2 linked regions of the Canis lupus familiaris genome follow. The protein of the gene in region 2 purifies or fractionates together with the protein of the main gene of each other region. This does not show direct contact. Links are inferred from orthologs where the notes say so. Each region holds a gene or a part of one and is shown on either strand. Other genes may lie near its edges.

Region 1 (4,182 bases), on a different chromosome or scaffold from region 2:
CTGGGCAAATTCAAGTGATACTCCTCTCCTCCCTTGCCAGACCCATCCAGCAAAGGATCAGCAACCAGAAGAGAAGAGCCCGAAAGTAATCAGGTTTATTTTGTCCCACCTGGGCCTTAGTTTCCCCACTGATAACTTGGGTAATTTCTGAAATTAGATTTCAAAGCTAGATGCTCCGTGTATAGCTCTACAGTTTTTCTACACACACACACACCCACACACCCACCCCTTGAATACATTCATTAAAATAAATCTGTCCATAGTTACTAAAGAGTACAAATGCACAAATGACAATCAAAATTCTTTCTCTTATTCCCTGGGAGCAAGCACTGTCAACAGTTTGCTTATAATTAAGGTTAGCATTGTAACTTTAAATTTAGACCTCTATCTTATGATTTATCAACTTTAGATTACATTTATCTTTTGAGTACCAACTATGGAAGATGAGGAGCATACACTCACCTTTCCATTAATCTTTCTTTCCTGTTATCTCTCCATTTTTGCTATATTATTTTTCCATTATCAAGGTTAACAATTTGCACTCATAATTTTTTTAAAGACTTTATTTATTTATTCATAGAGACAGAGAGAGAGAGAGAGAGAGAGAGAGAGAGAGAGAGAGAGAGAGAGATGCAGACACAGGCAGAGAGAGAAGCAGGCACTATGCAGAGAGCCTGACATGGGACTCGATCCAGGGTCTCCAGGATCACGACCTGGGCTGCAGGCGGCGCTAAACCGCTGCGCGACCGGAGCTGCCCTGCACTCTTAATTCTTGTATGCTTTGTCTCTGGTGGATTCTGAAGTTTATAAACTCATAAATAGCATTTACAATGTTATCATGATGTATAAATCACTAGAGAACCAAGCATGGATGGACCATAATAAAGAAAATACTCCATGTCTACAGAGCTACTAATCTAATAGACAAAAAAAAAAAAAAAAGCAAAAGAATCAAATAGGTATCTAATAACACTTATTGAACACTTAATATTATGCTAAGCAGCCTACATATATCATTTTATTTAATCCTCAAAACAACCACACAAGAAGCAATTATTAACTCAACTTTGCAAAAAAGAAACTAAAGCTAACATTGTGTATCACTTGCCCACCTTGGCTAGTATGGAGCACCCAGGGATCTGAATCCAGGTATGGCTCCAGGGCCTGAACTCTTCACCACTATACTGCTTGATCATACTATTCTTTCACTTTCCTTCTCCTAGCAATGTCTTATTAGCACCCTGAATAGTAGAGACAATATGTTATTCAACAAGGCAGAACTTCAAGTCATCCTGTCTATATATTAAGCTTGTTTTTGACTACATGTTTTATTCCAAATTTTAAAAAATTATTTAACTGACACAATATCTAGCCTTTCTACTCACCAAATCTGGGAAGCATTAAAGACTATGTTTTATGGCTGGATTTCAAAACATAGTATGGGAAAGCAAAGTGTAGTTCTGACTTTTCCTGTTCACATATTAAGAATGACAGAACATTTAAAGCAGTGGTCCAACATAGAAAAATTCTTTAAAACTCGGGAAAGAAACTATAGATGAAACCTTCTTAAGGATACAGTTATCTCTCTTCTTTGATCTTATTTTTCAATCGGGGGGATAAGTTAAAAGGGTTACTGAATTACCTTGGTTTCTTGCTACATTATATACAGTATGCAGCCATATACTGGGTAAATTTCATTCCCAGTTATTTTTTAATCCGATTTCTAAAATACACAGGTGAAGAGAATCTCATTTATAGGCCAATTCTCTCCTTATGATTTCTAAGTACAGATATTACTTTCCTCCCCCCAAATCAAAGGATCACAGGACCAGATGTAAATCACATTCTCCAGATCTCCTATGGCAGGAGGTTAAGGATCCGGGTTGTAATTATAACCTAAGCCCTGACACCACTTCGATCCAACAAAATACATTGTTACACTGAGTGAATAACTAATTTTGGGCTTATTTCCACTAAAGCTGTTCTTTCAGGAAACAGCTAGTTCACCGTACCTCACCTACAAGTCAGAACCAGCTTTTGAACTATTTAGAAACGGTCAGATGTGGGTTAAAAGGGCATGCTAGTTTCAACAACACCTCTAGAATTGACAACCACTCATTCACTGTCAATTTTCCAAAGACGTAGATACTTGTAATTTGACATCTTTTCTTTTCATCCGTTTACATATCTATCACTCCCTGTAAGCTGTGTGCTACAGTACAGGAGAGTGTGTGACATCTTTGCACGCCGCAGGACCAGCAGTGTCTGGCACATAAAAGTGTGGAATTAACTACGATAAGGAAGTGCATGCTGCAAACAAAGGAAAACGGAGAGAAGCGTTTCAATGGCAAGGTTAAGGAGCCAATTATCCTCTAGAGAAGTACAGACGTTGGGCCCACCCAGGCCAAAATGTAACAAGCGAAGAGGCATCTGGAAGCCACAGTCAGGAATTGCAGTCCTACCTACCTTTACTCTTTATTGTGTCTAGGCGTTGCGGCCGCTAGCCCCGAAGAGCCCGAGGCCTTCTGCCAACGGGCCGCCAGTCCCCGCCTCCCGAGAGGGGTGGGAACACCGTGAGGCTGGACCCTGCCTCGGCCTTTCTCCCGTCCCAGCTCCGGCCATGCCTCGTTCGCGGACTACACTCCGGCCGCGTCTCCCTGCTCCAGGCCATACCATGACAGAGCAATTCCTGTGGACCAAAGGCGGACTCGGTTCACTCACCTACTTGGTAGAGCCGGCCCTCGGGTGAAAAAATGGTAATGTGACGGTCAAACCCAGCGCTGGAACCACGGGACATGTTGGCGAACCCACTACTTCAAGCACTGTCTCTGAGCCCCGTAGCTCCCACACCAGGCGTACAAATCCCCCCGGAAGTTTCAACGACTGCTTCCGGGGCACCGGCGAGCTGCATCCGCTCCTGCGCGCCGAACTCCGGGCTCCAGCGTCAGGCGGGCGCGGAGAGCTCTCCGAGGCCCCGCCCCTCGTTGGGGGTGGGGAGGGCCGGGAGGCCTTCGGTGTGCGCTTGCGCCGGCCCCTGGGCTGAGCGCTGTGCAGAAGCCCCGTGGAACTGGCGTTGAGGCAGTTTAGAGCTTTCATCTGGCGAGTGAATTGCCCGAGGCGAGGACTAAGACCCTTTCTGGGCGCCCAGACTAGTGATCGGCCTACCGGTGGGACTTAAATGGATGGCGTATTTAAGTCTGTCGTTAGTTTTGGGACGTGTAAATCCAGCTTGGGTCTAGATTGCTGGCGTCGTTCCTAATCTGCTCTGTACTCACCCACTTTTCCTTCCTACCACAGGGGAAAAGGAGTTGCAGCGACTGCGGCAGTAACCGCTCATTTTAGGTACGGAAGGGAGCGGGTTCTGGTAGGCACTGCAAAGAGCAGGGTTGTCTGGCCAGGCAAGACCCTTTTGGCCAGCAGCCCCAACAGTTTGTCTTAGAAATGGAACAGGAAATATGGGTGTAATGGAGGAATAGGAGGTTAAGTTGCCTTGATCGATAATGAACAGAAGGGACGGGGCGTATAGGAGGCTGTTGTTGAATGAATTGATGGGAGTAATTCCAAGCGAACTGGGTAGCCCCGGGAGCACAGCAGGTGGCTTTTCAAATTGTAAAATTGCCTATTTTGACTTTTCCCCAAGGCACACTTCTATTTAACCAATAAAAAATGCAAAACATGACTGTAGGCCGGTGTCATTCCCCCCTTCCCCCCTTAGAGTTTGTGCACTAGGAGGGCCAGTTATGCCAATGTTTCTGGCACTTCAGTGCCTGCTGTAAGTAATATCGAAGTAGGGATTCTTACCTTTTCAACATACTTTTTCCTAAACTCATTTTGCATATAGAGGGGGGAAAATGTGTAAGAACCTCTTGAGTTTAAGGAAGCTCCAATTTTCAAGAATGTTTTTTTAAAAATAAACTTCTATTTTATCAACCTGAAAAAAAAATCCAGAACTTAAAGAAAATGCTAAATGCAAACAGCATCTCTGGCACACCGGGTACCTTCCAGCTCTAGCTAATTTCCAAGCGTACTGATAAAAGTTGTCCCTTGCTTCTGATTCAGATCCCTACCCTCAGGACCACCTCCTCCTGACATTTTCAGTGCTTTTTTCCCCTCTCACACTCTGACTTACCCTGGTATATTGTAATTTCCAGACGTTGCCTGAATAATAATAAAGAGTTCTCT
Region 2 (3,617 bases):
TGGATTTAACTGAAAAAACAAAACTTGTCTCTGCATTTATTAATAATCTTATAGGATACAAGCAAAACCGTGCCTAGAATGGCAACTTCTCGTAAAGTTCCAATCTGATCAAACAGCAACCAAATCTATGCTGGTTTAAGCCAACATTCTGAGTAGTTTTTCCTCCAATAATCTTCACTAATGATGGTGCATTGTACAGCTTCCACAAAACACAGATCCTCTCCATATTGGTTAAATATGATGCTGGAAAAATCCAAAGATTAATTCAGAAATTAGAATATCAGCATAGTGTGGGATGAATTACATACTTCTGTCATTCCATAATGGCAATATAAATATAACCCAGCACTCCAAGACTCTAAGAAAAGCAGGAAAGAGATACTCTGCAACATGTCTTAAATTTGCTTTAATCTCATTCAGAAAGTTTCAATCTCTCAGACATTTCCTTTCAGGTGTTCTAAAGTGAGCATCTCAAAGCTTCATCCCCAAAGTTCAATCATGCTTTTCTTACCTGGTTCTGCTCTGCAAATAAATGATTCTGGCAGCAGCTGCAATCTTTTCACACTTCTGAGCTCAGTGTTGATCTTTAGAGTAGCTGTAAATAAGGAAAAGAGAGACACACAATTCTTTTCAGTTCATTAATGGCCTTCATGTTTTAGCATGGGTTTGCATTTCCCTGTCCCAACATACAAAGGACACGTTACAGAAAACAAAGTGCTCTATGTTTATTTCCTTTCCCTCACAGCAAAGTGTAAAGCTGCCATCACATCAAGTAAAATCACTCTAAAACACCTTTAAAAACTAAAGTATGGGGAAGCCTGGGTGGCTCAGCAGTTGAGTGCCTGTGTTCAGCCAAGGGCGTGATCCTGGAGTCCCAGGATCAAGTCTCACATCGGGCTCCCTGCGTGGAGCCTGCTTCTCCCTCTGCCTGTGTCTCTGCCTCTCTCTCTCTCTCTGTCTCTCATGAATAAAATCTTTAAGATTTAAAAAAAAAAAAAACTAAAGTATGCACCCTTTATATAAAACCCAATAGGTATTACCAATAGCACCTTATTAGTAACTTAAAGATATACAGCAAGGTTAGTAAGAGGCAGTGAAACCATAATAAATCCATTACTTCTAACAAAGTCACTAAAAACTCCACTTATTTTTTTATTTAACCCCTGGCAATGAATCTTTCCTTGTTTATTAAAAGAATCCTGCTAGGTTTTCACATCATCTTTCTAGACCCAAAGGACCAATCTTCTTGACATCACCAGAGGGTTCAAACATTAATCATATATACAAAGGCGCACTTCATCTCATTCCATGAAAGGCCAGTGATGTGCTTATGCACATGTGCCCTGAACAGGAGGTCTTGGGTGAAGGAAAGACTTATGGACACACTGCTCCTTTTCAAAGAATCAAGCCTGGAGTGGCTGGCTGCCACACAAGTCTACAAGTAGCTGATGTGCCAAGAACAGTAAAAGAACAAGATAACAGAAACTAAGAAGCCATGGAGAGATCTAGCAGCCATTCTCTTTATGTTACAGATTCTGACACCAGTGAAGAGAGGCTATTATCCACGATGTTAAAGTGCTTTTCTAAGAAACAGAAGCAAAAATGAGCATGAGCACCTCCTATGTACTGCTGGGTAGCTTCAGCCTTGCAGTTATGATGGGATGGAGCAGAACGACGGGGAAGCAGAAACTACTGATGTTCCGTGTTAAGAACTCCCAGTGGGAAGTTTCACTTGCTCACTGTAATGAACACTGAGGAGACAGAACTAGTCCTCCTGCCACTGGAAAGTCACATCCTGACAAATGGGGATACCACCAAAGCTGTTAAAGCTGTTCAAATCTGAGACTTGAAAGGAACATTTCAAAGAATCTAGTTAGTGATTAAAGGGAAGTAGCAGAAATCACATCACGAGGAACCTGGAACTATCTTTCATTTCAAAGATCAAGACAGTGTAGGATGATGGTTTTCAAAATAAATTTTTGCAGAACAAACATTTTTCAAACAAAATTTTACAAGAGACCTCAATAAATGTAACAGACAAATATGGTGCTGCTCCAGGTTCAAGTGGCAATACGGGGTCTCCTAAGCCGCCTCCTCCACCTCAGCAGAACCAGTAGCTGCTGAGACTAGGGGCTAAGGTGTATGGAAGCAACTGCCTTTGCTCCATGAAAGGTGAGCTCTCCTGGAAAATTGAAAATGCAGTCATTCCAATCTCACCATACTATCTTATCCAGCTAAGGGGATAAACCTTAAAAATCAAAGCAGAGCAGAAAAAAAAAAAAAAAAAAAAAAAGGCAGAGCAGAAAGGAAAGATTCCAGTCACTCCGCTAGCTCTCCAGAATGTGTGATTATGGGCTCGTTCCACAGATCATGGGTAGATAGAGACTTCTGATGGCTTCGAGCTAAAATGAAATACAAAAATGGAATGCAAAGCAATCCCTGTGAAACTGCCAATATAAAAGAAAACTACACAAAGCAACTACTCAGAGTGACCTTCCTGATGGCGCGGGTGTGGGGGACAAGCGCACACACACTAAGGCAGTGCTTAGCTGTGTTTGTAAGCATCACTGTTCAGAGACAGGATCAAAAGTGATCCCCACTCAATCACCTCTTACCACCTCTCAGCTCCAGACCTCGGTCAAAAAAATAAACATAAAGTCATCCACAGGCAGACAGAGCCCATATGTAATAGATCATCTCACTCCAATGATTACAACACCCCCTGAAGCAAAAGCATCACAAGGGTAAGATAGCTGAAGGGCATGGCTGCCCTGGGAGAGAAGTCTGCCGGACTGAACATCAACCCATGTATCCTATGACCTTTCAGACTCGTGTTATCAGCGGCCTAGGGATTAAGAGACAAGAAAAACTCAACTAGATCACGACAGCCAGTCACTGAAGCAGCCGGAAGATGTCTGGAGAGGAACAGGTAGGTCAGCTCTGTAAACTGACAACTGTGGCCGTGCCATCCAATTACCATTTATGACAATCAGCGTTCCCAAAGGCACACAGGTGAGAGCAGCAGAGCCGCCCTCGCAGAGAGGATGCGTGTACTGCAGCTTATACACACCACCTGACTTCCAGTTCTCAGGCATGGACAGAGCTTTAGCCTCAGTCCCCTGGGGAATGAAATGAAAGAAACAAATAATGAGGAAAAGTATTACTCTCATAAAGACTAAAAATCCAAGAGGCCCCTAACTTGTCTGGAAATAAGCATTCCATACAGTCCCCTTAAATAAAGTTTGTCAAATCATTACTATCGTTAGTAAAATTTTGATAGAAAAATGAGACAGGGATTGATTTCTCTCTTTAAAGACTCACATCTCTGCCCAGCAAAGCCCTATCATTATTCAAGACCTACAGCTCAAAGATCATTTTGTGAGTCCTTAAAAAAAAAAAAATCCTGTTTGTCATTCTCTTCTACACCCTAACATTCTGTTCATACTCCTATTGCTACACACTTCTATTATGTTAGAATACATCATATTTTTCTTTTTATTTGTTTCTCTCCCCCGCTTACAGACTCCTTATATCCTGATTTCCCAGCTCAGAGCACTGCATGCTGCGGGTGTTCAATGATCACTGAATTGCTGCTCTACAGCTCTGTTACTCATAAC

The links. Proteins that work in one complex are often made in the same cells at the same time.
Region 1: the proteins of FBXO7 (region 2) and PSMA6 purify together in Homo sapiens (affinity purification with mass spectrometry; 3 studies listed by BioGRID and IntAct, with this or other methods). This does not show direct contact. The link is inferred for Canis lupus familiaris from reciprocal best matches to the Homo sapiens genes FBXO7 and PSMA6.

The regions. Positions count from the first base shown.
Region 1 is NC_049229.1:14,184,382-14,188,563, reverse strand, and holds the start of PSMA6 (proteasome subunit alpha type-6), read right to left. Parts: upstream 2,902-4,182; 5' UTR 2,798-2,901; coding exon 2,722-2,797; exon of another isoform or gene 2,387-2,721; intron 1-2,386. UniProt on the Homo sapiens protein: Component of the 20S core proteasome complex involved in the proteolytic degradation of most intracellular proteins. This complex plays numerous essential roles within the cell by associating with different regulatory particles.
Region 2 is NC_049231.1:31,993,421-31,997,037, forward strand, and holds part of FBXO7 (F-box only protein 7), read right to left. Parts: intron 3,120-3,617; coding exon 2,978-3,119; intron 596-2,977; coding exon 512-595; intron 1-511. UniProt on the Homo sapiens protein: Substrate recognition component of a SCF (SKP1-CUL1-F-box protein) E3 ubiquitin-protein ligase complex which mediates the ubiquitination and subsequent proteasomal degradation of target proteins and plays a role in several biological processes such as cell cycle, cell proliferation, or maintenance of chromosome stability.